Notamacropus eugenii: one gene and its partner. The protein of the gene in region 1 interacts with the protein of each later gene in a biochemical or structural test. Links are inferred from orthologs where the notes say so. Each region holds a gene or a part of one and is shown on either strand. Other genes may lie near its edges. The genes, in order: MIB2 and CYLD.

Region 1 (15,520 bases):
TGAATTCTCCATGTGTCCCTCACTACTACTGTACTCCCACTTTTCTTTTCTTATGGAATTGTGTGGGAAAGTATGCTCCAGACATCTCAGGGCCAATTATTCTTTCTATATTGTCTCAGTAAATACTTTTTTTCCTAAAATCTAATTGAGGTTACTAGCTGACAATTGTTAGAGAACACACTAGATGGGGGCTTGTGAATAACAGCATTAAGAAAGCCTCCAGTAGCCACTCAGAGTTATCCATGGATAGAACTGTTGTTGGGAGAGTAAGAAATAGTAAGCTGCTCTCTGGGGACCTGACCTACCAGTACTAGCAAGAAATAAAGAAGTAGTGCAGAGGGGATACTATATAACAACAAGAGCAAAATTTAATATTTCAAAAAAGACACACAGCTCAAAATCACTGCTCATCAATGTTTCAGGGAATTTGAGATACAGCCTCAGGATTATCTGGGTAAGTGCATGTGCTCACTGTTATGTGCATAAAGTTACCCTTCGCCTCTGGGAAGGTGGCTATTGATTGTTCTTCATTCTCAGAGAGGACCATGACATCAAGGAGGTGATGCCATGACATGCAAATGAATTGGATTTAAGTGGGGGAGTGCTGTGCAAAGTCACTAGCCTCACTTTCTCCTCCAGAACCATTGGAGTCCAGTGGCAAGATACAGATCAGGATGACTAGAGATGGCCTGGGATACAGTGGGGGACCTTGACATTTTTCAGCTAAGGTTTTAACAATGTCTTGGTTTGACTGAGGCAGTGCCTATTCAGTGATTAAGGCTAGGTAAGAAATGAGGTAAAGAATGGCCTTTCACTTAGTTAAAAAAAATCAGTCTGGGAGGGGAAGACCCTCAGAGTTTCTGGCCAAAACAGAAGAAATGCTATTTGCATTCACTCTGAGCCAACCAGGGCCTGAACAATATTGAGGCTTCGTCTGGGACCTATTTTTGGCCAATAAGTAAGAGCCAGAGTGATCTGGATTTAAGGTATGTCCTTAAGAGAGAAATCTAGCCCATAAATCCCAAGATAACCATGTGAGGTTTCAGTGATCAAAATTTATATCCCTTTGAGCAGAGTCCCCATCAAGTAAGGGTATGATGAATGTTCATAGTTGAACTGAACACATATGCGGGTGATAGGGGTCATCCCATGCAGAATGCTTAATTGCCATTCCTGATTCTGGCTTTCCATGTGGAGTTTGGGTCTTGTTTCTGGCCATATGTGACTGAGCTAAAAAACTCACCCCCAGAGAAGAGGGATTTCCTATGTTGGCTGAGGAGTTGGAAGAGTTCATGACTCAGTAGCTGTTTAAAAGGCAGTGACCCCATACTCAAGGATCTTATCATTTTTTGAAGAGAAATAATTTCTCTGAATTATTTCAGGACCACTGAACTGTTTTTGGACAGGGGTGAGGTGATGGCACTTCTCTTATTTTATTGCTTTATGAACACTATCCTATTAAGAAATTCCTTTCCCATGTTATGGTTGACACACATGGAGACTATAACTTTGGCTGACATAGGAATCCTGAATCAGGAGGGGAAGGGGACCTGCTTTAAGGATATAAAGTCCACTTCAACTATCCTTTCTTTGAGCTCATTTCTCATGAACTCCGATGTATGGACCCAAACATGATGCCACTTTGAGAGAAATAAACAAGCACATGAAGTCTAATTTTGTTGGTTATTCTTAGAATGAACTCTGTAAGGTTGACAGTGCCCATCCAGAAAGGGGGACAGCTGGGGAGAAAGAAGATAGCCACTAACAAACAAGTTAGTTTGCCAAGCCTGGTAGTTTTACCAACAGACATCTACCAGGAATTCTTTGCACAGTGCAGAGCCAAGGTGAAATATAAAATGCGAAATTAGCAATTCTGTAAACTCTTTGTGTTCTGATAAGGTTTTTGCAGCCATAAGTTTGAACCCTGCTCTGAGCTTTTTTTTTTGTCAAATATACACTTCCGTGTGGTTTGCGTTTAGTATTCTTTTTGTCTCTAGGAAATAAGTATCTATTCAATACCTGTATAATGAATATCTTTCTACTTCCCTCCTTTAGGGATCCTGAGCCATAGCTATAAATAATTCCCTCCCCTCCCCTAGTGCTGGGAGCCAGGGGTTTAATGGGCCAAATGGTATGAGAAAAGAGAGACCAAACTTCTCCTTAGAGGACTTAGAGAACTCTGAAGACTGGGGTCAAACCCTGCCTCTGATGCACTAGCTGTATCACCTTGGGCAAGTCTTTTTTAACTTCTCTGTGTCCCAGAAAACTCTTCTGTAAGTTCCAGAAGAGCTGGTGAAGTGCATTTGGCTTGTTGGTGGGAGTTTCTGAAACAAGAAACTTCCCACATCAATGAAATCACATATCAATCCATCAGTCAAACATTGACTCAGCTCCAGATTGAATGAACTGTGATCTTAGGCAGTATGAAGCATGCTTCAGTTCTGACATGTTCTCTTTTATGCTGGCCCAAGTGGGAAATGATTGTGCAGAGGAGAAAATCAGCATTGGGTTTCCAAATTTGGATTATTTTCTTATAACTGAAGATTCTCTAAATCAAACGGAAGGGTTGAAGAGTATAACATTCCCGAGTCTGGTAAAGGATTGTACTCTGAAAGAGGGAACGGTGCCTTGGAAAACTTATAGGTTTGTAAATTTCAAGTTCCTCATTCCTGCATAATCTAGCTTGAGTGCTAGATAAATCGTCCCCAAATAAATAAGGGATAATAGGAGCGCATCTATCTACTCTTGTTTAGTTTAACTTCCAAATGAAGTTAATGAAGAAATAAAGAATTGACAGATATGATTGCTGAGGCAACACTGAGGTAGGAGTGTTAGGGCTGGAGTCAGGAAGACCCAAATTCAAACCTTACCTCAGATACTTATTAATTGTATGATCCTAAGCAAGTCAACCTTTCCCTGTCTTGGTTTCCTCAACTATAAAATAGGGATGATAACAGCCTCGTCTAGGTTTTTGGGAGGATAAAATTAGATATGTAAAGTGACTAGCACAATGCCTGGCACATAGTAGTAGGTGCTTATCTCATAATTAAGATTTACATTGGTCCCTGGCAAAATTCCAAAGTTATCAAGTGGGTGGTCAGGGAACACTTAGAAAAGAGATCAGTGATCCCAAAGAACCATCATGGCTTCATTTAAAAAAGAGAGGGTAGCAGCATTTCCATTGTTGGTGGAGTTGTGAACTATCCAACCCTTCTAGAGAGAAATTTGGAACTATGCCCAAAGGGCTATAAAACTGTTCATACCTTTTGATCCAGCAATACTATATCTAGGGCTGTATTCCAAAGAGATAATAAAAGTGGGAAAAGGACCCAAATGTACAAAAGCATTTATAGCAGCTTTTTTTGTAGCGGTAAAGAATTGGAAATTGAAGGGATGTCCATCAATTGGGGAACGGCTGAACAAGTTGTGGTATGTGATTGTGATGGAATATTATTGTGCTATAAGAAATGATGAACAAGCAGAGTTCAGAAAAACCTGGAAAGACTTACATGAACTGATGCTGAGTGAAGTGATCAAAGCCAGGAGAACATTGTACATAGTAACAACCACAGTGTGCAAGGACTGACTTTGATAGACTTAACCCTTCTTAGCAATGCAAGGTTCTAAGACAACTCCAAAAGACTAATGATGGAAAACGCTAAACATATCCAGAGGAAGAACTTTGGAGTCTGAACGCAGATCAAAGTAGGCTATTTGCTATCTCTTTTTTGTTGTTTCTTCTTTCTTGAGGTTTCTACCATTGGTTCTAATTCTTCATTACAACATGACTAATGTGAAAATATGCTTAATATAAATGTGTATGTAGAGCCTATATCAGATTGCATACCACCTTGGGGAGGAAGGGGGAGAAAATTTGAAACTCAAAATCTTATAAAAGTGAATTTTGAAAACTAAAAATAAATCAATAAACTTTTTTTAAAAAGAGTTGCAGCATTTCCTCCTTTTCTTGGCAGGGTTTACTAGGCCGGTAAGGGAAATGCTAGAGTTATAGTTTTATCTGGATTCAACAAAGAGCTTGACAGAGTCACTCAGACTTCTCCTCGTAACAATTGTTAACATTCACATAGCACTTTAAGGTTTGAAAAGTGCTTTACAAATATCTCATTTTATCCTCAAAACAATCTTGGCAGGTAGGTGCTACTATTGTCCCGATTTGGGTGACTGGGGAAACTGAGGCAAAAAGCTGTTAAGTGAGAGTCACACAATTAGGTGTCACAGTGGGTAGAGTGCTAGGTCTGGAGTCAGGAAGACCTTAGTTGAAATCTATCCATAGGTACATATTAGCTGTGTGATCTCGGGCAAGTCACTTACCCTTCCTACAGATTCCTCATCTGTAAAATGGAATAATAGCCTACCTTTCAGGGTTGTTGAGAAGACCAAATGAGAATCATAAGATGATGAGAATCATAAGGTGCTTACCACAGAGGAGGCAATATACAAATAGCAGCTAGTAGTAGTAATAGTAGTAGTAGTAGTAGTAGTAGTAGTAACAGCCACAGCAGCAGTAGCTAGGTGGCACCATAGGGTCAGGCTTAGAGTCAGGAAGACCCATCTTCCTGAGTTCAAATCTGGCCTCAGATACTTACTAGCTGTGTGACCCTGGGCAAATCACTTCACCTTTGCTTGCCTCAGTTTCCTCACCTGTAAAATGAACTGGAGAAAGAAATGGCAAACCACTCCAAATAGGGTCACAGAGAGTCAGAAATGACTGAAAAATAGTCGTAGAAGTTGTAGTAAGAATTTGAAACCCGGTATGAACTCAGGAACAGTTAGGGATTTGCAAATGGTCAAGTTTGCACTTAAAGACCTAAAGAGTACTCATTAATGTAATTCCCCAATTGATAAATGGTCAAAAGATATGAACAGGGAATTTTCAGAGGAAGAAATTAAAGCTATTGATAATCATATGAAAAAATGCTCTAAATCACTATTGATTAGAGAGATGCAAATTAAAAACAACTCTGAGGTACCATATCACACCTATCAGATTGGTTAACATGACAAAACAGGAAGATGATAAATATTGGAGAACATGTGGGAGAGTTGGAACACTAATTCATTGTTGGTGGAGCAGTGAGCTGATCCAACCATTCTGGAGAACACTTTGGAACTATGCCCAAAGGGCCACAAAAATGTGCATACCCTTTGACCCAGCAATATCGCTTCTGGGACTCTATCCCAAAGAGATCATTAAGATGGGAAAAGGTCTCACATATACAAAAATATTTATAGCAGCTCTCTTGGTGGTGGCCAAAAACTGGAAATCAAGGGATACCCATCAATTGGGGAATGGCTGAACAAGTTGTGGTATATGAATGTAATGGAATACTATTGTGCTATAAGACATGATGAACAGGAAGACTTCAGAGAAGCCTGGAAGGACTTATATTAACTGATGCTGAGTGAAAGGAGCAGAACCAAGAGAACTTTGTACACAGCAACAACCACAGTGTGTGAGGAATTTTTCTGGTAGACTTAGTACTTTGAAATACATGGACTTAAAAAAATTTCCAATGGACTTGAGGCAAAATGCCTTCCACATCCAGAGAAAGAACTATGAAATTGGATCGCGGATAGAAACAGACCATTTTCTTTTATATTATGTTTTGTTTTGTTTTATGGTTTCTCCTATTAATTTTAATTCTTCCATGCAACATGCATTTAATGGGAATGTACCTGTGGAACCTATATAAGATTGTATGCTGTCTCAGGGAAGGAGTAGGGAGGGAGGGGGAAATGATGGAGAGAGAGTGGAAAAAAAGTCCAAGATATAGGGAAGTGATCGTCAAACACTGAAAACAAATAAAATAATTCAATTAAAAAAAGCTTCCTCTCAGTCCTCACAATTAATAATCTTTTCTCACAATTAATAATCTTTTCTCTCTTTGGACTAGACCCATAACTGAATTGAAATGGAAGTGAGCTAGCTCCAGAATTGAGTCCCAAGATGGAATCAGTATGGTTCACTCAATTCCCACAATTAACTATTGCTGTCCTAATCTCCTCAATTCCCTCATAAACTTTGTCTATTGCTATAGACCAAATAGGGGGAAAATGTTATCTAGAAGCCAGTTTCTTGGTGATGAACCTTTTCAAACTTAGCTAGACTATCTTTGGGGGACATTCATGTATGCATGTGCACCTAGGCCTATACACAAAATTTTCCAGAATGCTAAGACTTCCAAGAACTTGTTTTATGCTAGCACAATTTTTTTTTTTAAATACCAGGTTCCCCTGATATTCCACAATGAATTATCATCGCAGTTGTATATTATTTAGGGATTTTATTACGCAGATGGCAAAACAGAGATAAAAGACAGAAGGTTAACTTCATGAAGGCAGGAACTTTGTCATATTTTTGTCTATTTCTTTTTTAGATTAAAAGTAGCATTCAAATGCAAATATTATCATGGATTGGTTGTTACAATAACAAACAATAATTTAAAACATCAAATGTCACAAAATCAGTTTCCTACGAGAATTTTTAAATAGTTCATTATGGTCTTTATTATTAATCATATTTGGAGGAACATTATTAATGATTGATAATGTTATTACTCAATGTATTATTTTCTTTCTATTAATGGTTGATGCATGTTTTGCTTATTTTCATGTTATAGGATTTTATAAAATATTTTAAAGGGGAAAAAAAAAAGAATACTCATTCATGGAAGTAGGTCAAGTTGGAGGGAGGTCTCTAGTGGAGTGCCCCAGGGATCTGCGCTTGACTCTGTCCTGTTCAGCATTTTTTAATCAATGATTAAGATGAGTACAGATGAAATGTTTGTGAAATCTGTAGATAACATAAAGAGGGTGTAATGAACATGTCAGATGACAGAGTCAGTATCCAAAAGGATCCTAGCAAGCCAGAACATTGGACCAAATTACAGAAAATTAAATTTAGAATCCACATGATTTCAGTCTTGCTTTTCCAAATTAAATGCCTTAAATAAAAAGGAAACAAACAGCAGGTTCTGATCCCTTCTCTGCACTTTTCTGTCAGTTGCATGACTGCAAAAATTGGGTCTACTATAGAATATCATTTTGCCTTCTACATATTTTCATCATGAACATGTATTCAGATTTTTCACATATGGATTTTATAGAGATGAGAAAGAAGGCATGTGAGTCAGAACTTATTGTTTTCTCAATAATTGTTGGAGGGAGAGGGAAATAAGCTGGTTTGTAACTTCCTAATCATTTGTTTTCTTCCTTTCTTTCATATATCTTGAGAAGTGATCCTTCAATGCCCCTCTAAATTGTGATGTCTCCAGGCTGGACCTCCAAGTAGTCTTGATCTATAGTAGTACAGCCGTCTTGATTTTTTTTAGTGTCCTTTCTATGGTGGCATAGTAGATGGAATACTGGACCTGGAGTCAGGAAGACTCCTCTTTGTGAGTTCAAATCTAGCCTCAGAGACTAACTAGCTGTGTGACCCTGGACAAGTCACTTCACTCTGTTTGCCTCAGTTTACTCATCTGTAAAAATAAGCTGGAGAAGGAAATGACAACCCACACAGTATCTTTGCCAAGAAAATGGTGTCACAAAGAGTTGGTTAGGATTGAAAACGACTAACCAACAATTTACTTTTTCAAGTAGCACTGTGGAAGACTGTGACTTTACAATCCAAAGCATTAATGGAGAAAGTAACTTCTTACAGAAATAGCAGATTTTTAATTTTTTTTTCTCTAATTGTTCTTCTAGTCAGTTAGGAGTCCACATGGCCAAGTTCAGAGAGGCACAGTAGCACATTGGTTACAGGGTGATTAATTCTTCTGGCCACAATAACACTAATGGCTTACATTTATATATAATATTTTAAGGTTTAAGGGTTTACATATATTGATCCTTAGTGAAGAAGGCCCTACACATGATTATCATTTTACTGAGGAGGAAGTGACTTGCCCAAGGTCATACAGTTAGGATTACATATTTAGAGCTAGAAGGGGCCTTAGAGCTCATGAATTCAACTCCCTCATTTTACAGATGAGGAAACTGAGGCCCAGAGAGGTTGGGTGACTCGGTCAAGGTCACGCTGCTAGTTTAAGGGGGTTAGATTTGATTTTAGAGTCATTTGACTCCATGGTCTCCCCCTACTCCCTCTCTGAACCAGTGACATGGGCCTCATCTCCCCAGACTGTGTGTGCATTTTCACTGACTCTGCCTCATGCCTGAAAATCTCACCCCCTACAGGAAGCCTTTTTTTCTCATCCCCCTTAACGCTAGTCAGAGATTATCTCTGCTTCATCCTGTCTACCTGGAGTTTGCACATACGTGCACTTTTGCTTGCTTGGATCATGAACTCCTTGAGATCAGGGACAGGTTTTTTGCCTTTCTTTGTACCTCTAGCACTTGGCACAATGCCTGGCAGCACACAGTAGGCGCTTGCTTGTTGAACCGAGTCATAGGAGGCTACGAGTCCTCATGCTCCTTGAGGCATCACCTATTAAGTCACTTCACCCCAACTGCCTCATCCTGGGCCATCTCCAGTCATCCTGATGAATATCTGGTCGCTGGATTCAGATGGCTCTGGAGGAGAAGTGAGGCTGGTGACCTGCACAGCCCTCCCTCACTCACAACAAAGTCAAGTGCAAGTCATGTCGTCATTTCTCTGGCAGCATGGTCTTCTTCGGCAACGAAGGAGGAACACACACATTCATTATTTCGTGTAGCAGAATGAGCTCTAGAACGCTCCTCAGGGCCTCAGAAGTCCCATCTGTAAAATGGTTACTGTAACTCCTCGCTAGTAGACAATGTTTCATTCTTTGCCTTTGCAGCCTAGCACCAGGTACACAGAGGCGTTAAGAAGGCTTGCAGATTGATGGAAAGGTCTTGGCCATTCCCTGGGGCTCAGGCGCGGCGACTCTTCCTCCTTGCACCGCCAGGGGGCGCCAGGGTGCCGGACTCTGAGCCCCGCCCCCGCCCCCGGCCCCGCCTCCGCGGCGGTCGCCGCGGCCCAGCCTCTAGCCTCGCAGGCAGCAGCGCCCGAGGGGGCCTGGCTCCCGGTTCCCGCGGGGCCTCCTGGGAGTTGTGGTCCAGCTCCCAGCCCCTGGGATTGCGCGCTACTCTAGCGCGCACTACGGCTCCCGGCAGCCCCCGCGGCGGACCCTGAAAACTGAAGCTGCCCGTCGGGGCGGCGCTGGCAGGCGGCTGCGGGCGGGCAGCGACCCCGCTGGCCCTGACCGACGGACGTACGGACGGACGCACGGACCGGCAGAGCTGCTCTGCGACGGAGCCTCGGAGCGAGCCCGGCGGGCGGGCCAACCGCCGAGCCGAGCCGGGCTCCGGGAAGGGCCCCCGCCCGGGACCGAGCACAGGTCAGAGCCTCAGAGCCGCTCCTCCGGCCAGGCGGGCGGGGCGGCCGCGAACCGAAACTTTGGGGCGGGGCGAGGCCAGGGCGGGGGCGGGGCCACGGCGGGGGAAGGGAGCCACCAAGGGAGGGGGAGGGGCGAGCGAGGGGAGGCCGGAGAGGGCTGCGGTAGGGGGCGAGGGAGGGCCGAGGGATTGGGGAGGGGGAGAGACGAGATGGCTACAGTGATGGGGGGAGGGGTCAGAGAGATGGGGGAGGGGGAGAGATATGGGGAGGGGGTCAGAGAGCTGGGGGAGGGGGAGAGTAATGAGGGGAATGGGGAGAGATATGGGGAGGGGGTCAGAGAGCTGGGGGAGGGGGAGAGATGGGGAGGGGGGTCAGAGAGCTGGGGGAGGGGGAGAGTAAGGAGGGGAAGGGGGAGAGATATGGGGAGGGAGTCAGAAAGCTGGGGGAGGGGGAGAGTAAGGAGGGGAAGGGGGAGAGATATGGGGAGGGAGTCAGAAAGCTGGGGGAGGGGGAGAGTAATGAGGGGAATGGGGAGAGATATGGGGAGGGGGGGTCAGAGAGCTGGGGAAGGGGGAGAGATGGGGAGGGGGTCAGAGAGCTGGGGGAGGGGGAGAGTAATGAGGGGAATGGGGAGAGATATGGGGAGGGGGTCAGAGAGCTGGGGGAGGGGGAGAGTAAGGAGGGGAAGGGGGAGAGATATGGGGAGGGAGTCAGAAAGCTGGGGGAGGGGGAGAGTAATGAGGGGGAGGGAGGGAGTAATGAGGGGAAGGGGGAGAGATGGGGAGGGGGTCAGAGAGCTGGGGGAGGGGGAGAGATATGGGGAGGGGGTCAGAGAGCTGGGGGAGGGGGAGAGTAAGGAGGAGAAGGGGGAGAGATATGGGGAGTACAGAGTGAGATGGGGAGGGGAATAAGGGGGACCACAGAGGCATGAGGTATGGGGAAGGGGAAGGAGGGAGGGAGGACCACAGAGATGGCCCAGGGTGAAAGGGGGGATCCACCGGGGCTGGATCTGAAGGGGTGGGTGGAGTAGGGGCAGGGGACCATTGAGGGATGGGCTGGGGAGCAAGGAGAGGAGGCCTGGAATGGGGCTGGGATGGAGCTTCCTCCCCCTGGGGGGTCTGGCTTTGCTGCTTCCAGCAGACCTCTGGGATGTTCAGATTTGGGTCTGAGGTCCCTTCCAAACCAGATTCCAGGATGAGGAGGAGGGTTATGGGGAATGATAGTTCACATTTGCATCAGGCTTTGAGGTTTACAAAGTGTTGGCCTCCTGGTCACTGTGAGGTGGGTCCTAAAGCCTCATTTCCCCATTTTCCCCAATGTGGAAGTGAGGCACAGAAGTTAGTGACTTACCTAGGGTCATACATTTAGAGTCAGGGATGGAAATTGGATCCGGGGCCCTTGACTTGAGTGCTCTCTCAGGGATCACAGAGGGAAGAGGAGCCTGTCGAGGGATTTGGGCAAAGGAAAATGGGGATAGGCCTGTTTGGGAGGGGAGACCAAAAGGAGCCATTTGGAACAGAGGGATCCAGAGCTGTGGAGGAGCTGGAGAGGGAGGGGGCAGCCTTAGCCGCTGGGCCTTCTCTCTGTCCTCACTCTTCTTAATCTCCAACAATTCTCTTAATTTTCCTTTATCTCTTAATCATTTCATGCTACTGAACATTTCCTCCTGCATACAGGATATATCCTGTCTAAATTGTTGTGACACTGTGCTCTCTGTCTTTCTCGTCTGTCTGTCTGTCTGTCTGTCTGTCTGTCTGTCTGTCTCTCTCTCTCTCTCTCTCTCTCTCTCTCAGTCTTTGTCTTGGTGTCTCTCTCAGTCCCTTTGTGTCTTTGTCTCTCTCTCACATTCTCTCATTCTCTCCATCTCTTGGTGTCTGTCTGTCTCTGTCTCTCTGTTTCTCTCTTTCCCTCTGTCTCTCAGTGTCTGTCTGTCTCTCTGTCTCTCTCTTGGTGTTTGTCTTTCTCTTGGTCTCTCTCGGTATCTGTCTCTCTGTCTTTCTGTCTTACCCTCTGTCTCGCTTTCTCTCTGTCTCTCTCTCCCTTTCTCTGTGTCTATCCATCTCTCTCTCTCTTTCAGTTCTGCCTGCCTGCCTTTCTCAGTTTGGTTTGACTGCTCAGGTCTAGGTCATGCCCACTAGCTGTGGGTGTCCCCCTACGCTCTGTTCTGTGTCACTCTACACTATTTCCCCTGGTGATCTTATCAGCTCCCCAGGGTTCAGTTTTTACCTCTGCAGATGACTCCCGATCTCTGTAGCCAGCCCTGGTCTCTCTTCTGAGCTCCCGTCTCTATCACCAACTGCCTCTTGGACATTCTGAACCAAGTGTCTCATTTGTTGTTACTGTTCAGTCATTTTCAGTCGTGTCTGAATCTCCATGATCCCATTTCGGGTTTTCTTGGCAAAGACACTGGAGTGGTTTGCCATTTCCTTCTCCATCTCGTTTTACAGATGAGGAAACTGAGAAAGACAGGATGAAGTGACTTGCCCAGGGTCATCCAGCTTCGAAGTATCTGAGGTCAGATTTGAACCTAGGAATGAGCCTTGTTGACCTGCCAGGGTCTTTATGCACGATGGTGCCCTCTAGCTGCCCATGTAGATGTTCTCTAGGCATCTCAAACTCAATCTTGCCACCCCAGAACTCATTCTTTTTTCCTCCTGAGCCCTTCCATCTTCCTGATTTTCCTGTTAGTGTTGAGGGCATAATCACTTTCCTGGTGGCTCAGGCTCCCAGCCCCCATGGCATCACCCTCTCTCACCTCCCATGGCCAGTCATCACCAAGCCCTGTGGTTCTGCCTTCACAATATCTCCCATAAGCCCCCTCTGCCTTGTGATATTGCAACCAGCCTGGTGCACACACTCACACCTGCTACTGCTAGCAAAGCAGGTCTGACCACATCACACCCCTCCTCAGTCAGCCTCAGTGACCATGCTGTGTCCCCTCCTCTTCCCCTGCCCAGCAAGTGTCACCTGCTTCCTGTTACCTCCAAGGGCAAAATTTAATCCTATTTGGCTTTAAAAGCTTTTCATGACCTGGCCCCTTTCTACACCTTCCTTCCTTCCTTCCACATCCTCTAGGATCTAGTGACTGATCCCCTGGTTGTCCTACCTCCAGGTATTTACCCTGGCTGTGCCCCATGCCTGGGACTCTCTCTCTGCTGTCTTCCTTGGCTTCCTTCAAAGCTCAATATCCTGCCTTCTGCAAGAAACATTTTCTGATTCTCCTTTATCTTAATCTCTCTGAGACTGTCTCCAATTTATCTCATCACATCTCTTGTTTGTACAGAGTGGTTGTCTTGTTGTCTCCTCCCTCAGACCACGAGCTCCTTAAAAGCTGTCTTTTGCCCTTGTTGGTCTCCCTGGTGCCAAGCCCATGGCTGGACACATAGCAGATCACTTCATTTATTCCGCATGACCTCTGCTCCCCCTGCCCTCCTTCAGTGAACTTCAGTGGCTCCCTGTCACCTCTGGGGATCCAATATGGAAACAAACCAGCCAACAACAGTCTCTTCTGTTTGGCTTTTAAGCCCTTCACAACCTTGCCCTTCTCCTGCATTCTCTGATTCAACCACATTGAATGTTCTCGTATGCCCCACTTGATCTCCATGACTTTGCCTTGCCCAGTCACCATGCCTGGAATGCCCTCCTTTGTTCATCTCGGCCTCATCAAATCCCTGCTTCCTCCAAGACTCAGCTTAGCCTCCACCTTCTGCAGGAGGCCTTTCTAACCCTCCTGCCCCCCAGCTACCAGTGCTGCCTTTCCTTCCTCTACTCTGTCTGTATTTTGTATGGACACACGTCATCACAAATACTTGTTGCCTGACTAGGGAGCTGTATCTGTTCCCTGTGCCTCTTGTCCTCTTCCCGTCTGGTTTGGGCTTGGTAAAGCAGTTCCTAGTAGATGCCCCTTCCCCAAAGGCCTGTGGGTCCTCAGTTCTTGATGGGCCATGATTGCTTTGTGTGGAGTATTCTACCCAAGAACGCCCATGCCCCAGGGGAGGAGGGGTAGGACCTACTGGGGCATCTGGAGCACCCTGAGAGCTAAGGAGTGGGACTGCACAGAGCTGGCCCCTCACCCTTATGGAAAAAGGCAGGCCCTGAGCCAGAGCTCTTGGGAGCCAGGGCTACCTGGCAGGTGGGGAAACTACTCTGCTGGGCAGCATGCACACCTGGAACCTTTCCCACTTCAGGCTCTCTGCAAACTTTAGAATCCTTTTCCCAGCCTCATGTGAGGCATTCTGGCCAGTGACTGGCTAAGAGAGTGATGGTGGAAATGAGGGTCAGAGACCCTCTGTGGGACTCTGGCCTAGCCACAGAACAAAGCAGTCCTGGGTTCCAGGCAAGTCAGCATCAACAGGGGCTACAAGCACAGGAGAAGCAGTTCTACCCTCAAGAAACTTGCGCCTTCCCCTCCCCCAATTCCAGATGTGTTATTGACATGAACATTGAAGTCATTTCTGGAAATACCTTCTCACCCTTCCATACTGACCCCTTTTTGGTAGCAGTTAAAAACTCAGTAAAAATGAGCATATCTGAGTCAGTTGGCCAGCATTGATTAAGCACCTCCTATGTGCAGGCCTCTGTGCTAAGCACTGGGGAGGCAAAGGCAGAAGACAGTCCCTGCCCTCAAAGAGCTCACTGTCTAGTGGGGGAAGAGAATGCCAGGAAGGAATCTGGGGGGAGAGGTCCTGATGAAATCCAGAGGAGTCTAGGGAAAGGATAAACTGACTGCCTTGGGCAGCGTTCTATGGGAGACTCTGAGAGGAGCTGTCTGCTGCCCACCTTCCACTCCCTCCATTCTGAGGGAAAGAGGGATTGGCCTAGAAGTGCTCAGAGGGGGACTGTTTAGACCCCCTCTGTTCTCCTAGGGGGTAATGATACAGCTAGTGTATACTGCTGAGCCAGAGGGGGAGCAGGCTGAATCTGTAATTTTGTTGGTATAGGGAAGTATCCAGTGAGTATCTCCCCATGCAGCTCAGCACTGTCTGCATCTTGAGTGCTTGTCAGACTTGTCCAGGGTCTCACAGTCACTTTGGGTCAGACCAAAGGCAGGCGTTCTCTATCCAGCTGCTGCTCCTTACAGATAAGGCAATAGAAAATCTTTGGAGGAGGGAGAGAGCCTGAGAGAATGGGGAGGAAGCCCCTGCCCTGAGCCTTGAAGGACCTAAGCCAGAAGGAAGTGCATTCCCCTCATTCCTGATCTCCCCACTGTGACTGAGCACCCAGTAGTTGTTGTGAGATCTTATCTTCTTGACCGGAATCGAGCCTCTTGCCTTACTGTTCATTCTTGATGTTCCGGCTCATGCTGATAGGGGTTCATGAGAATTGTTCTTGCCCTCTGCATCTGGAGGGTGAGGCTTCCTGTAACGCAACTTTGTCTCGGAAAACCTTCCACAGGAAGGGAATCATTTTAAATAGCCCATTACTTCATCTGGCCCTTCCTTCTAGGGTCAGATGCTTTGGGGAGACCACTTTCTGAGTGTTCTGTGCTCTTGTCCATGTCCAAGATTTTGGCCTCTATTGACTTTTAGCATCCAGTAGAGTCATTCCCCTGATTTAATTTACTTCAAAATTTTGTGTTGGTGTGCAGTCACATCCAACTCCTCATGACCCCATTTGGGGTTTTCTTGGCAAAGCTACCAGAGTGGTTTGCCATTTCCTTCTCCAACTCATTTTACAAATGAGGAAATTGAGGCAAACGGAGTTAAATGACTTGCCAAGGATCACACAGCTTGGTGTCTGAGGCTTGATTTGAACTTGGGAAGATTAAGTCTTCCACTCCAGGGTATGCACCATACACCACCTCCTGGCCTTTGCTTTAAACACACACATTCAATTCTAAAATAATTTATTATAAACACCTGTGTCCCTTGAACTCTTCCCTGGGGTGGTGATGGAGGAGAGTGATTACGACTCTCTTATGGGACCCAGACCTTGCCTCCCAGGAGTTCCCAGTGAAGTTAGAGAAGCCAATGTCAAGTACTGGGACCTGAGAACAGTTTATAAGAGGGAGGGAGAGTAAGTGATTGCTGCTGGCCATTGAGCCTTGGGTGTGTACCCAGCAGCAGCTCTGACTTTCCTGCTCCTCAGTTGGACTGATCCCTGGCTGTCTTTGTTTGCATTGGCTGCCGATCCCTTAGGAAGGCTTGTATGCTGACCTGCCTGGTGAGCCTAGAAGCAGAAGGA
Region 2 (15,625 bases), on another chromosome or scaffold:
ATATTTATAAAGCACTTTGTATTTTCTCAAAGTTTGTATTTTTATAGAAAATGTGACTGTGAACTTTTATGTAAATATTAAGCTATAAGTATACATATTATTAAAGTATTTTGTCACTAAAGCCTTCTTTGTCATAAGACTTTAAATACATGTGAAATTTGTTTCATATTGAAGAATAAATATTCCTCATTCTAAAAATAGGTTTTCAAAAAAAATCAGGCAATTTTTACTTAAGAAAGAATGCTTAGACATAGCCCTGGCAAGCAAAACACACTTATCTTTCAGCTAAGAAAAATCAAATGCAGCACAAACTCCCAATGAGCCATGTGAGAAGAACTTCACTGAACACAGACTGAAAGTAAAATTGCAGGCAAATTAAAGCTTCTGCAGTTCAGGTTGAAGTGGCTGAAGACACTTTTGACAGAATCAAAATGTGAAAGGTTTTAGTCTATTTCTTTTCTGTAGACACTTGGTTGAAATAACCTCATACTGCTGTCCCCACCTAAGGAAAGGTGTCTCAAGGATTAGAAAGCTTCTGTAGGGACTGAAGAAGATACCTGTTTCTCCTGGATTCTGAGGGAGGTGTTTATTTTGGAGAATGGCAAGGAAGGGCAAGAGAGATGTTTTGTAATCTTTTAAAAAAAATTTTAAATTCAGTTTGAGTTTTCTCCCTCCCCTTCCCCATCCCCAGGCAAGAAAAACAAAACTCATTATAAATATGTATTATCATGCAAAGCAAATTTCCTTATTGTAAAGAACCTTGAGGGATTTGAAAGAGCCCCTTAACAAGAGTTCCCCTCCTCCAAGTGAGAAGAGTAGCTGACTTGAGAAGTTAAGTGATATATTGTTCTCAGGTGCATGTCCTTGAATTCGGGTGTTGAAGCTCCAGGAATCAGGGCCCCTGCTATACAGGATAACATTTGATAAAGAGGCCTGGAGGCCTCCCTTGCTACTTATCACGATCTGTTCTGTTTCATGCCTCAGTCGCTACTCTTATGGTTTTTCACTATTTAAGCACCCTGATCCCCTAATTTATTGGCTCAGTAGATCTAGAATAAACTCAGCTTGTTCAGACTGCTGTGTCCCTCCTGTCTTTTCTTCCTCGCTCTGTGAGCCCCGTAACTGCTCTGGACCTACTGGACTTCGCTGGCGGCAGCACCTTATTAGCTATGTCCAAAAAAAAAAAAAAGAAAGAAGAAAATTTGTTTCAGTCCATCAGTTCTCTTGTCTGGAGATGGGTAACATCTTTTATCATGAACCTTTTGGATGGTGTGCAGGTAAATTACAATGTTTTTCACAGCTGATTGTTTTTACAATATTGCTATTATTATATAAATTGTTCTCCTGGTTCTGCTTACTTCACTTTGCATCAGCTCCTAGAAATCTGCCCAGTTTTTTGAAACCATCTTCTACATCTTTTTTTTTTTTAATAATCAAATCATATTCCATTGCATTCATATACCGTAACTTCTTCAGGCATTCCTCAATTCATGGAGATTCCCTCAGTTTCCAATTGCTTGCCACCACGAAAAGAGCTGCTCTACATATTTTTGTACATTTGGGTCTTTTTCTTATCTCTTTGATCTCTTTGGGGCATAGATGTAGTAGGTATTGCAGGGTCAAAGGGCATCCATAGTTTAATAGATTTTTGGATGCAGTTTCAAATTGCTTTCCAGAATTCTTGGATTAGTTCCCAGTTCTTCCAACAGTACATTAATGTACCTGTTTTCCCATATTCCCTCAAGGATGTCATTTTCTATTTTTGTTATCTTAGCCAATCTGATGGGTATGAGGAGGTAACTCTAAGTTTAAATTTGCATTTCCCTATTAGTGATTTTGAGCATTTTTTTCATATGGTAGCTTGAATTTCTTCCTCTGAAAACTGTTCATATCCTTTGACTACTTAGCAATTTAGAAATGGCTGTGATGTTGTGAATCTGACCCTTTACATCTTAGAAATGAGACCTCCACGAGTGTAAGTAAGGTGCATTTTAGTGCGTGTAAAGTGGATTTTTGTTATTCTTTCTCAGAGTTCAGTTTCCCAAGATCCATAGCCATAACAATCTCTTGTTCCCAGGTATTAGATGTGTATGAGTTCTCATGATTATGCTTCAAAACACCTCTATCAAGAAAGAAGAAAACCAAATTACAAATATCAAAAATGAAAAGGGTGAACTCACCTCGAACGAGAAGGAAATTAAAACAATAATTAGAAATTACTTTGCCCAACTGTATACCCATAAATTTGACAATCTAAATGAGATGAATGAATATTTTAAAAAATATATATTGCTCAGATTAACAGAAGAGGAAGGTGAATACTTAAATAACCCCATCTCAGAAAAAGAAATTGAATAAGCCATAAATGAACTGTCTAGGAAAAAATCTCCAGGGCCAGGTGGATTTACAAGTGAATTCTATCAAACATTTAAAGATCAGTTAATTCCAAAACTATATAGACTATTTGGGAAAATTGGTGGAGTCCTACCAAATTCTTTTTATGATACAAATATGGTTCTAATACCTAAAACAGGAAGAACGAAAACAGAGAAAGAAAATTACAGACCAGTTTCTCTAATGAACATAGATGCAAAAGTTTTAAATAAGATATTACCAAAAAATACAGGAACTTATCATGAGAATAATACAATATGATCAGGTAGGATTTACACCAGGAATGTAGGGCTGGTTCAATATTAGGAAAACTATCAGAATTATTGATAATATCAACCACAAAACTAACAGAAACCATATGATTATCTCATTAGATGCAGAAAAAGCCTTTCACAAAATGCAACACCTATTCCTGTTGAAAACACTGGCAAGCATAGGAATAGATGGAGCTTTCCATAAAATAAAAAGCAGTATCTACTTAAAACCATCGGCAAGCATTATATGTAATGGGGATAAGCTGGATACATTTTCAGTAAGATCAGGGATGAAACAAGGATATCCATTATCACCACTGTTATTCAATATGGTATTGGAAATGTTAGCTGTAGCAATAAGAGAAGAAAAAGAAATTGAAGGAATAAGAATAGGCAAAGAAGAAACTAAGTTATCACTCTGTGCAGATGATATACTTAGAGAATCCCAGAGAATCAAGTAAAAAATTACTTGAAATAATTAACTTTGGCAAAGTTGCAGGTTACAAAATAAACCCACATAAATCATCTGCATTTCTATATATTACTAATAAAGTCCAACAGCAAGACATAGAAAGAGAAATCCCATTTAAAGCTAAGGTAGACACTATAAAATATCTGGGAGTCTACCTGCCAAAACAAACCCAGGGACTATATGAACACAATTCCAAAACACTTTTTGCACAAATAAACTCAGATCTAAGTAAGTGGAAAAACATCAGGTGCTTGTGGGTAGGCTGAGTTAATATAATAAAAATGACAATCCTACCTAGATTAATTTACCTATTCAGTGCCATACCAATCAAACTACCAGATAATTATTTTCTAGAGCTAGAAAAAATAATATCAAATTCATCTTGAAGAACAAGAATATCAAGGGAACTAATGAAAAGAAATGCTAGGGAAGGTGGCCTAGCCCTATCAGATCTCACATTGTATTATAAAGCAGCAATCATCAAACCACTTGGTACTGGCTAAGAAATAGAGGGGTAGATCAATGGAATAGATTAGGTACTCAAGACACAGTAGGCAATGGATATAGCAATCTACTATTTGATAAAGTCAAGGACCCCAGCTTCTGGGATTAGAACTCATTGTTTGACAAAAATTGCTGAGAAAACTGGATAACAGTGTGGTAGAAACTGGTCACAGACCAATGCCTGACACCATACACAAGAATCAAGTCCAAATGGATACATGATCTAGGTATAAAGACTGATAATATAAACAAATTAGGGGAGCAAGAAATAGTATATGTCAGATTTATGGAGAATGGAGAAATTTTTGATGAAACAAGAGATAGAGAACATTATGAAGTGCAAAATGGATAATTTTGATTATATTAAATTGAAAAGTATTTGCACAAACAAACCCAATGCAACCAAGATTAGGAGGGAAGCAGAAAACTGGGAAAGAATTTTTGCAACTAGTGTCTGTGATAAAGGCCTCACTTCTAAAATAATCAAATGTACAAGAATACTGGTCATTCCCCAATTGATAAATGGTCAAAGTATGGGATCTGGGCATTTTCAGAGGAAGAAATTAAAGCTATCTATATTCATATGAAAAAATGCTCTAAATCACTATTGATTAGAGAGATACAAATCAAAACAAGGTACCACATCACACCTATCAGATTGGCTAACATGACAAAACATGAAGATGATAAATGTGGAAGAAGATGTGGGAGAGTTAGAACACTAATTCATTGTTGGTGGAGCTGTGAGCTGATCCAACCATTCTGGAGAGCAATTTGGAACTATGCCCAAAGGGCTACAAAAATGTGCATACCCTTTGACCCAGCAATACTGCTTCTAGGACTGTATCCAAAGAGATCATAAAAATGAGAAAGGGTCCCACATGTACAAAAATATTTATCGCAGCCCTCTTTGTGTTGGTCAAGAACTGGAAATCAAGGGGATGCCCATCAATTGGGGAATGACTGAACAAGTTGTGGTATAAGAAATGATGAACAGGAAGACTTCAGAGAGACCTGAAAGGATCTATATGAACTGATACTGAGTGAAAGGAGAACAACCAGAAAAACTTTGTACACAGCAACAACCTTGGGAGGACTGTTTCTGATAGACTTAGCCCTTCACAGCAATGCAAGGACCTAAAAAATTCCCAATGGACTCTTAAGGCAAAATCCCTTCCCCATCCAGAGAAAGAACTGTGGAACTGGATTGCAGAATGAAACAGATCATTTTCTCTTGTGTTATGTTTTGTTTTGTTTTCATGGTTTCTCCCATTCATTTTAATTCTTTTATGCAACATGAATAGTGTGAAAATGTGTTTAATAAGAATGTATGTGTAGAACCTATATAAGATTGCACCCCGTCTCAGGGAGGAAGGAGGGAGGGAGGGAAAAAATGTAAGATATATGGAAGTGATTGTAGAAAACTGAAAACAAAATAAATTAATTTAAAAAAATTAAAAAACAGATTGAACTAAGAATAACAACAACAAAAAACACCTCTATCACACTTGCACAGTTATATAATGGTAAATGATATAAATATTTGTACTTAAATTATTAACATCCACTGCGACTGTGTAGTAAGATATAGGGATGAGGTGATGTAAACTTGTGAGGCTATTGTTGGCAATATGCCTTCTTTGTCTGTTGCCCTATAAAGCAGGTGGGCACTGGTCAGTGAATGGGAAACCCTTAGAGTTGAATGCACAAACTGGATTGATGTATGTGTGCCTTGACTGGCCCCCACTGAGGCTTGAGGAGATTTAGAGAAATGCACAAGCTGTGACTGTCTCAATTGACCCCATCAAGACATAGGGGTAGCAGCCCCCCTTCTTGCTGGCCCCTGAGAGAAGGGTGATTAGAGAATGCTGTAGGAGTTAGTGCTCCCATTATCAGCAACCTTGTGAGGAGACTAGACCTGAATAAAGTAAGATTATTAACCCCTTCAAAGCTTTCTTAGTGTCTTTATATGTCTGACCAGATCAAAAATGAACCTGTGCTAGTGGCCCTCCTGTGTGCTAGTGTGTATCTGTCTTACAGAAATTTGCTGCAAATATTTCCCACCCCTTCCCCCACTCCCCAATTTCCTGCCTCTAATTTTAGTTGGATTGGGTTTGTGGAAAAACTTTTAAATTTTATGTAATCAAATTGATCTCTTTTGCCACTTCTTTCTCTTGTTTGGTCATTAACATGACCAAAGCATCACCCTGTCCATAGATTTGACAGGTAATTTCTTCCATGATCCACTAACTTGCTTACCATGTCACCCTTTATGTCTAAATTATCTACCTATTTTCAGCTTATCTTGATATGGTATGAGAGGTTGGTCTATGCCTAGTTTCTGCCAGATTAATTTCCAGCTTTTCTAATAGTTTCTGTTGAATAATGAATTCTTGCTTCAATGTTGGGCATTCAGGTTTATGAAACACTAGATTACTGTGCTCATTTGCTTCTGTATATCATATGCCTGCTCTGTTCCACTGATCACTGATCAATTTCTATTGGCCAGGACCCACTCATGGCCAGCCTTGGCCTCAGTATCTGCATACCTCTTTGTTTCCCTCAGCATCACTGGGCTGGAAAAATGACTCACTGGAATTTTTTTTTTTAATGGCCTTGTGGCCTGGAATTCAGTTTGATCCTCTTCTAGAAGGTTGTGGAGGTATCTGGATGAACTAGCAAAAATACTTCCTCTTACTCTGCCATCTTGACTCCACCCTGTTTTGTAACCTTTTGATGACAAAGCTTTTGTTTTTGTTCTATAGCCTTGTTCTCTTTGAGGCAAGAATCTACATGAGATTATAAACTATAAATGAAGTTAGCAGATTGGAGTGTGTGTGTGTGTGTGTGTGTGTGCGTGTGTGTGTGTGTGTGTGTGTGTGTGAGGAGCACAGGACTTTTTACAGCAATCATTAATTCTTCATAGATAAGAGTAATCTTCTAAAGTAGCTTGATTTGAAATTATTCAGCATGGGAAAGTCATAGCTGAAAACCAAGTTTCAAAGTCCAGCAGGGATTCCCCAAAAGCATTCTAAGGCCTATGTACAAGATTGGGCGGATTAATCTCTCTGTGGTTACTGCTTTTAATATCCTCCAAAGAAGGAGTAGAGTTGAGGGTTCTCCTAAGGGTGAGTGGGCATTTGGAAAGAATAGTCAATCAGTCAATAATTATTAAGAAATTATTATATGCTTGACACTGTGCTAAAGTTCTGGGCATACAAGTAGGAAAAAGATAGTTCCTTCCCTAATCTAACAGGGGAAGACAATGCTGAATGGGGGTTAATGTACCGGGCATGGGAATGGTAGAGAAATCAAATCCAAAATGAGTGCAGTCAGAGAAGTCAAAGAAGTCCAACATGAGTACAGCTGGATAGGAAATGAGATGTCAGGATATTTCTCTCCTGTGTCCCCTCCAATGGAAGGGCAGTGGGTACTGGTGAGATGTGGGTGTCAAGGTTGATTTGTATCTGACAAGATGATGAGATTTCCCAATGAGTTTACTGGGGGGCATAGTAGGGAAGTCAAAGAAGTGTAAAATGAGTGTAGCCAGGTGGGAAATGAAGAGAGGTTTACACAGTCCAGAAAGGTTTCTGTTAATACTTATAAATTCTTGTGGAAAAAGAGCTCATATGAGACCTTTTCTCATTCACAAAATCCTGGTTGTCAAATGTTAAATGAAAATGGCACAGATTCTCATTCCAGAAATAAACCCCAAAACCTCTCTTGCCTTTTCTGAATGAAAATGAAGATTCTCAGTATTGTTATCATTAGGTATCAGTCTCTTAAATTCAATAGATTCTGCACAGGAAAAAAAAAAGACACAGGGATCTTACATCTTTTTAGGGAGCTGAGAATAGACAAAAAATTTGGAATCATGCATTTAACAATTTCCTCTTGGAGGATTGCCCATAGTTTTCTGTTACTCATTCTTTGCTGGGATTAAATGGCATAGCTAAATATTCTTGAGTTTCCCAGGTATAGCAATGGGAAGCTGAATGGTCATATACATTAAAATGAGTAGCTGTGGAGCATGTTTCATGAAAGCAGAAGATCCTCTACCATATACCTAGCTCTGTGCTAGGCACTGTGAAAAGAATACATAAGTAGAAGATACAGCCTTCTGCTGTTAGAGGAGCTGATCTTGTTAGGGAAATTCTATCATCAATAAAACAATTAGAGAATACCAGAGCACTTTGGGAATTGGAGTAACTGTTTAAAGATGAGTCTTGAATTGATCCCTAAAGGGGTCATGAAGGTCTGTGACAGCAGGTTCTTGAAGTCTATGCCAAGGGGGCACAAATGCCAACAGATAATATGAAATTAGAAAAGCTTCCAGCGTGGGTCTCACAATGGCATCCCTTCTGCGCCCCGGATGACGTACTGGGGAGGACTGTAGTACATGATAGCCATTCTGAGAGTAATTAGTTATTGGCACAGTGACACCCCTTTGTGCTTTTACCTCTCAGGATGAATCCCACAGACCCTTAGGAGTAAGTGGGAGAATTTTTCCACAGGGAGAATTTATGTCATGATTAAGACCTTTCCCCTCCCACATCCCTCCTTTGAGTATTATTCATCCTCTTTCATAATTGGTACTTAATTTGTTAGAGAAAGAATTAATTAACAAGAATCCAGTGTCCTGAGAGCCTTCACTACTAAGTTAAAAAATCACTTCCTTAAATATTTTTGAGCTCACGTGGGAATCAAAAACGTCTCTTCTAATTGAAAGATCCTTAACTAAACCATAAGCCCTGGCTGTTGGCCAGGAAGGATGAATTAAATGTGTGACAATACCTTATCCTCCTCAGTGCCCTAAATTGGACCCCACCTCCCAAGGACTAGTGGGTGACTGCTGGGATAGGAAGCCCCTTCCAGAAGGGGAAACTGAGGCACAGGGCTCAGAGGGACTGGGAAACTCGATGGTTCAGGGTTAAGGACAGAGTGGTTTTTCGGGACTCCGGGCTGCCTCCCAGGAGTCCGGACTCCCAGCTCAAGCTAGGGCGTGAGCCCTGGCCTCTCCCAAAGCTTATTAGCTCCCAAGGACCGTGGACCCTGCCCTACCCAGTTCAGTAAAGCGTTTTGACAGCTGAGGCCCAGAGGGACTGGGACCGGTAATGCTCCACCCCCTCCTTTCACACAGCCAATCATGGCTGTAGGCTTGCAGCCAGACAGTCAATCAGAGAGCGCTACGCCACTCTCCCCGTCCCCGCCCCCTCTCGCCTCTTCCTCTCTTAGCCCTCCCCCACCCCCACTTTGGCTCCACCGAGCTTGACGGAGCGGAAAGTCCCTTAGTACCGAGCTGGCCCAGCAGGCATTGGCGGAAAGGCCGTCACAAGAAGGACCAATCCTGGCGCGCGCTGGAACGCCGTTCGGGTTCCGATTGGCTCTCATGCCACTTCTCCCCACCCACTACCACTCCCTCCCTTCCTTTTCTCCGGCTTGGAGGCGGGGCAGGCGGGGGCGGGCCCAGGTATCGGGTTCGGTTGCGCGGGGCCGCGCGTCTCCCCGAGATAAATAGTCGGCTGTGGTGGCGACGACTTTTGGTCTCCGGAGTCGGGGGCCGCAGGATTGGGAGCCGGGCTTCAGCCCGGTCGGACCCGTTCAGGTGAGCGAATGGCGGGCGGCGCTGGCGCCTGTGGGCCGGGGTTGGGGAGGCAAGACTCGTCGGGCGCCTTCCCCTCACTCCTCCGACGCCCCCGGCCCCGCCGCCTGCCAAGTCAGTGCTCCCCGTCCCGGCCCGTTACCTGGGCCTCGCCGGCCCCGCCGACGTCACTCTCCGACCCCGCGGACTCACGCCGCTCCCAGCGAGGCCTGCCGGTCCCGGCCTCCGCCGGAGAGGGATCCTCAACTCCGACTAACGGCCGCGGCTCGTCCGGTGCCTGGGGCGGTGGTGCCCCCCCTCCCGGGGACTGTCGTAAATAGGAGCTCCTCCCCCTTAGGGGAGGGGGCGGTAAACTGAGGCACCGGGCTGCCATGGAGCCAGCGTCCACCTTCGGGACCCAGAGACTTGTAGATGGGCTCGAAGTACTGCTTAACTCCCTCCGGTGGGACAAGGGGAGATAGGGGCTGGTGGGAAGAGCACTGAGGATTAGATGTTCGTAGGATTTAGAGCTGGAAGAGACCACACGTCAGACCAAGGATCCCCAAACTTGGGGTTCACCAACCCTGAAGAGGTCCAAGGACAGATTTCAGGGAATCCGTGAATTTGAATGGGGAAAAAAATGACACCTTGGGTTTCACTAACCTAACTGAAATTATGAAAGTAGACAATAAAACCTTATTCTGATAAGGGTTTCTGTAGGGTTCACCAGACTGCCAAAGGGGGTCTATGACAAATAAAGGTTAAGAACTCTTGGTCGTGATCCCTTTACAAATGAGGTAGCTGAGGCCCAGGGAAGGAGAGGAGTACCCACCCTACTGCTGCTCTTGCTGATTTATTCTCCTTTCTGTTTCAGTTTGCCCATCCTCAGGCTGAGGATGCTGTTACACAACCACTTGGAGTTCTTTAGTTGAAAAATTCTCTGTGGACAGAAGGTATCTCTCTTTTTCCTTTAATAGTAAATGGTCTGGTGGTTAACATATATGGATCCAAATTGATCAGTACAATTTATTACACATCTACTATCTATATTCTAGGTACTGGGGATACAAAGTCTTTCAAAAAGTGAGACAGTCTCATATCTCAAGGAGGGCCTGCTATTAGGGGTATTTAGTATGTGTACAGATAAGTAAATATAGGGTAAATATAAAATGAGGGGGGAATAAGGTGACCTTGAAGGAGGTGACACTGAAAGGAGTCAGTCAGTAAGCATTTATAAAATGCTTATTATGTGTCAGGCAATGTGCTAAGCACTGGGAGTAGAGATTCAAGCAAAAAGAAAGACAGTCCCTTCTAGGAGTAGACTAAAAAAAACCGCATCCTGATGGGTAAGGACAATACATAAAAGGAAGCTGAAAAAGGGAGTGGTGCAAAGGAAGGTACCTGACTTGGAAGCAAGTTGGAGTCTAGATTTGCAGCCTGGGGAGAAATGAACTGAAGGAGCTAGCAGGTTCTGAGAGACACAGGAGAGAGGGCCTTTCAGGCATGAGGGGTAGCATGTATAAAGACACAGAGGTAGGAGATGAAATCTAGGTCTGTTTTGCTAGAATGTAGAATGAATAAAAGGGAAAATAATGTGATTAGCTTGGAAAAGTAGGCTAGAGCCAGATTGTAAAGGTCTTTAAATGGCAAACAGAGGAGTTTGTGTTTTATCCTAAAGGTAGTGGGGAGTCACTAAAGTTTCTTGGTTAGAAGAGTGACATGGCCAGACCTGACCTTTAGGATATTAATATGGCAGTGATGTGGAGGATGGAAATAAGAATTTTGAATTTGCATTCCAGAGAATGTTGCTCATGAGTGTTTGATATACGACATGTTCTTTGTACATGTGTACAACTCTTGTTGCTTTTGCATTTTTAAGATAGTTGATTGTTCTTATCCTAGTTCCCTTTCCCCCAAGTTCAGCTAAAAATAAACTCATTACCTTGCTTTTTGACTGAAAAGTCTGTGATATAATACGATTGTTAATTTTTTAGGCTGTGGTTTCTAGGGGGGAAAGAAGAAGTCCTTAATGTGTTTCAGGGACTGAGAGAGGGAATTTGTTCTAGTGTTACTTTTCTGCACCCCCTCACACCCTAGGTAGAAGTAATGGCTCTGAGTATTAGCCTGCTGTTCTTCAGTATATAGTGGGTGGATTTGCACTAGTACATTATCAGGAGAAAATGGTCTTGGAGAACTTATTGAAACCCATAACACTTATGTTCTGTTGCAAAATCCTGGAAAATCCCAGCAAATAACACATTCCCTTTGGTGGTAGCTCTTATAAGATTTGGTAAGACCAAGGCTCATGTTTTCTTTCATGTTTTTTAAAAAAATAAGGTTTTATTGGTGTCTTCTGTTTCATATCCTACTTCCCCTCCCAGAGGACCATTTCGTATAACAAATAGTAGTATTTTTTAGAGAGGAAAAAAAATCACAATTGTTAAATACATTTTAAGAAGTCTGATAACGTGCATCATGCTTTCTTTTAAAAAAATTATAATGTCTAATGATTTCAGTGATTTTATATGTCAAGACTGGACTTACATTTGTTGACAAGAAAGATGAGAGTGAAGAAGGGAGTATGAAGTTATTATCCTATCCATCACTTGATTAATGTTACCATTTTTTCTGATTTATACTGTATTCTGAGTCGTTTGGATTTTTGATATTGGCACACAATCTGTGCTATAAAAGGATTAAATGAAATGATCCTGAAAAATCACTTTAACATGGATGTCAACATTACATTTTTCCCCTCTAATATATGACAAGTAAAATAATATTGCTTCTTCCTTACACAGTAATAAAATGTGTAACATTAGTAGAACAGTAATTAGAATGATGACTTCACTCTTCACGTTTTTATTGCTATCAAATATAACTAATTTTGATGTACAAAACCACTGAAATCATTAGACATTATACTCAAATGAATCTGTGATATCGATTCAGAAATTCCCTTTAATGAAGTAATTCAAAATCAATTCCATACCCATCCATCCTCTGTAATACTCATCCATGTTCTCAAAAGTTCACTAAGGAGGACTGCTGAACATGCTGTAGGCCTTTTCCTGACATTATGAGTACCAGTGGAAAATTTTTTCTTGAGACATGACCAGCCCATCTTCTCTTTCTGTAGTATAATTATTGGATGATATCCTTTACTGATATTCTTCTAAAGAATTCCTCCTCGGTTCTACATTACAACCTGCTCATCCTTATCACGGGCTTTTTCGTTGCTTTCTATGTAATGCCCATCTATAGTTCTTGTTATGCAGTGGTGTTCCACATTTGGAAGCATAATTAAATGCTTTTTAGGATTCTCTAGGAATATTGAGAAATAAAATTTCTTTGGTCTAAACCCTTTCCAAACTTCTGTTTGGAGGCAGGCCAGAAGGATGGATAATAAGCTTTCTTAGTGTGGTAGTCAAATAATTGAATACAGAGTATCTCTTGTTAGATCATTGCCTTCCCACCCACCTGTAGTGTTTGACCAATCTAAGGGCAGTATTCTCTTTACCCATCCCTTGAAGGGACTGATGCTTTGATCTACGTTTCTCCTTTGAGAAAAGATTGTCTGGTAAACAAGCATTTAGTGATCGCCTATTATTTGCCAGGCACTGTGCTACGCATTGGGGAAACAAAGAGAAAAACAGTTTTTGCTTTCAAGGAGCTCACAGTCTAACATGAAAACAACTATGTACAAAGGATAAATTGGAGATAATCATCAGGGGATGAACGCTAGTGTTAAGCAGGATTGAAAAGAGCTTCTTGCAAAAGGAGGGATTTTAGCTGAGACTGAAGCCAGGGAAGCTAGGAGGCAGAGATGAGAAGGAAATGAGTTCCTGGCATGAGGGAAAGCCTCTGAAAATGCCCAAAGCTGGAGTGTTTAGTGTGAGAAATAGTAAGGAGACCAGTGTCACTGAATCACTGTGTGTCTGTGGTGGTGGGGGAGTGTTTGTTGAAGGAGATTGGGAATAAAATGCAAGAAGACTGGAAGGGTAAGAGGGAGTCATATTATGAGGGACTTTAAAAGCCAAACAAAAAATTTTATATTTGATACTCAAGTTAATAAGGAACCACAGGAGTTGATTGAATGGGGGTGTGACATAGTCAGACCTTTTCTTTAGGAAGATCTCTTTGATAGCTGAATGGAAGATGGACTCGAATGGGGAGAGACTTGAGGCAGAGAGAGTAATCACAGACTATTGAAAGTAGTCTAGGCTTGAAGTGATGAAGGTTTGCCACCAGGGTTGTGGCATTGTCAGCAGAGAGTATGGAGCATGTACAAGAGAGATTGCAGAGGTACAATCAACAGTACTGGGCAACAGATCAGATATGGGAGGTGAAAGAGAGTGAGAAGTTGGGGAAAATACTTTGGTTGTGAATCTACATAACTGGAAGAATGAGGGCACCTTCAACAATAATAGGAAAGTTGGGAAGAGGGGAGAGTTTTAGGGGAAAGATTTGGATGTGCAGAATTGAAGAGATCTATTGGATATCCCAAGAGATGGGAGGATAGAAGTCAAGAGAGAGGGTAGAGATGAATAACTAGATCTAAGAATCATACACACACACACACACACACACGCACGTATATGTAAATATGTGTCCTTACGTGGAGAGAGAAGAAGACAGACAGAGACAAATAGATAATGTAATTGAATTCCTGGGAGCAGATGATCTGATCACCAAGCAATGAAGAGGGCCCAAGAAGGAGGCGTGGGAGACAACCACAGTTTAGGAGCTTGACCTGGATGAAAATCCTGCAAAGGAGACTGAAGAGTGGTCAGACAGGTAGACGAACCAGGAGAGAGCAGCGTCAGGAAATTTATAGGAAAGAGAGTATCACGAACAGAGTGATGAACAGTGTTAGAGGCTGCAGAGAAGTCAAGAAGAGTGAGAATTGAGAAACAACCATTGAGATTTGACCATTAAGAGATACTTGGTAACTGAAGAGAGCAGTTTCAGTGGAATGATAAAGTTAGAAGCTGGACTGCAGAAGTTAAAAAGAGTGAGAAACAAGAAAATGAAGCACTGAAAGAAGGAGATCTATTTGTATGTTCTAGGAGTAATCAACTAAGTAACTGAATGGTAATTTTATTATTCATTTGTTTTGGAATGCTAACACAAAACTATTTTTACATATGATCTTTGTCTTGTTCAAGATTGCTATAAATGTTGCCTCAAGTCATCTTGGATGAGAGAGTCCTGTCAGAAGGCAGTGGGAAACTATGCCAATTTATCTTTCTCTTTCTCTCTCTCTCTCTGTTTCTGTGTTTCTCTGCCATAAATGACTTGGATAATAGAGTAATGTAAAATTAAGAAAAATTATTTCTGGTAGATTTGTCTAGACCCCAGCATACAGTATTAATAATTTTTTTCTTCAACACAAGTCTCATTACACTGTACAGACACACTGATTAAATGTTTGTATTGAAAAGTCAGGCCTTTGCTGTTACAGGAAACTTGTAGTCAGTAAAAGTGTGTAATCTTTTTTTTTTTTAAATTTTTAATTTTCATTTTTAACACAGTTTATAACAGATAAAACAATTCAAACTTTGGTCAGGTGATACTTCTTTTTAAACAATATGGAGCACAAAAGAATTTTTTTTTAAACATTAACCAGCTGAGACACAAATAATATTTATGTTGCTAACTTCACAAGCTCTTGACCTAATTGTCTCCACAGTATTACTAAGAATTAAAGGACCCTAACTTATTGTTGTTGGTCTAAAGTCCTAAGCCTAATAGCTTAATTTTAGACTTAACCTCGGATGTTCCTCTATCAATAATCTATAATTGAATAGATCTGGTATTAAGCTTACAAAAGTGTGTAATCTTGAAAGCAAATCCAGCCTATTCTGTTCTCTTCAACTCTGGGCACAGTTCATTGGCCATCTGTACTTCTTTTCCTAATTATATATACTATTGGAAAAGCTCTGTAGGTGCCCATTTAATAGATACATGTTGAAGCCAAAGCAGTGGGAAGTCTTTATCTATTTGGTCGGTTCTGTAGATGGTCAGGCCAGTCTCCTTTGAGTGATTACAGAGTTCTTCCTGGAGATTTTCACTATCTTTATACTTGATGTAATTAACACAGTGCCATCTTTATCTGAGAACCTCACCTTCCTCTCGGAGATTTTGATCTGAACTCTTTCACTGATCTCCCTCATCACAGTGATGAATAATTTTGGTGAGCATACATTTCCTTGTTTATATCTCACCTGAAGTTTATTTTCAGAAGGTCATTGAACTGGGTTATTTCTGTCACTTTCCAGAAAATCTGTTACCTTCCAAGGAATGATTCCAGCATAGAGATGAGAGGCATCTTTTAAAAAGGCCCGCAAGGCAGTGTTTTGTTCTTCCTAATCAAATGTTTTTTCATAGTCAATAAATAAATTCAATGGAATTTTTTTG

The links.
Region 2: of the proteins of MIB2 (region 1) and CYLD, one has a biochemical effect on the other in vitro, tested with the Homo sapiens proteins (2 studies listed by BioGRID, with this or other methods). The link is inferred for Notamacropus eugenii from reciprocal best matches to the Homo sapiens genes MIB2 and CYLD.

Annotation. Positions count from the first base shown.
Region 1 is NC_092876.1:35,303,238-35,318,757, forward strand, and holds the start of MIB2 (E3 ubiquitin-protein ligase MIB2), read left to right. Parts: upstream 1-9,210; 5' UTR 9,211-9,338; intron 9,339-10,588; exon of another isoform or gene 10,589-10,618; intron 10,619-11,784; exon of another isoform or gene 11,785-11,851; intron 11,852-15,474; 5' UTR 15,475-15,520. UniProt on the Homo sapiens protein: E3 ubiquitin-protein ligase that mediates ubiquitination of Delta receptors, which act as ligands of Notch proteins.
Region 2 is NC_092872.1:465,958,306-465,973,930, forward strand, and holds the start of CYLD (ubiquitin carboxyl-terminal hydrolase CYLD), read left to right. Parts: upstream 1-9,071; 5' UTR 9,072-9,229; intron 9,230-10,079; 5' UTR 10,080-10,158; intron 10,159-15,625. UniProt on the Homo sapiens protein: Deubiquitinase that specifically cleaves 'Lys-63'- and linear 'Met-1'-linked polyubiquitin chains and is involved in NF-kappa-B activation and TNF-alpha-induced necroptosis.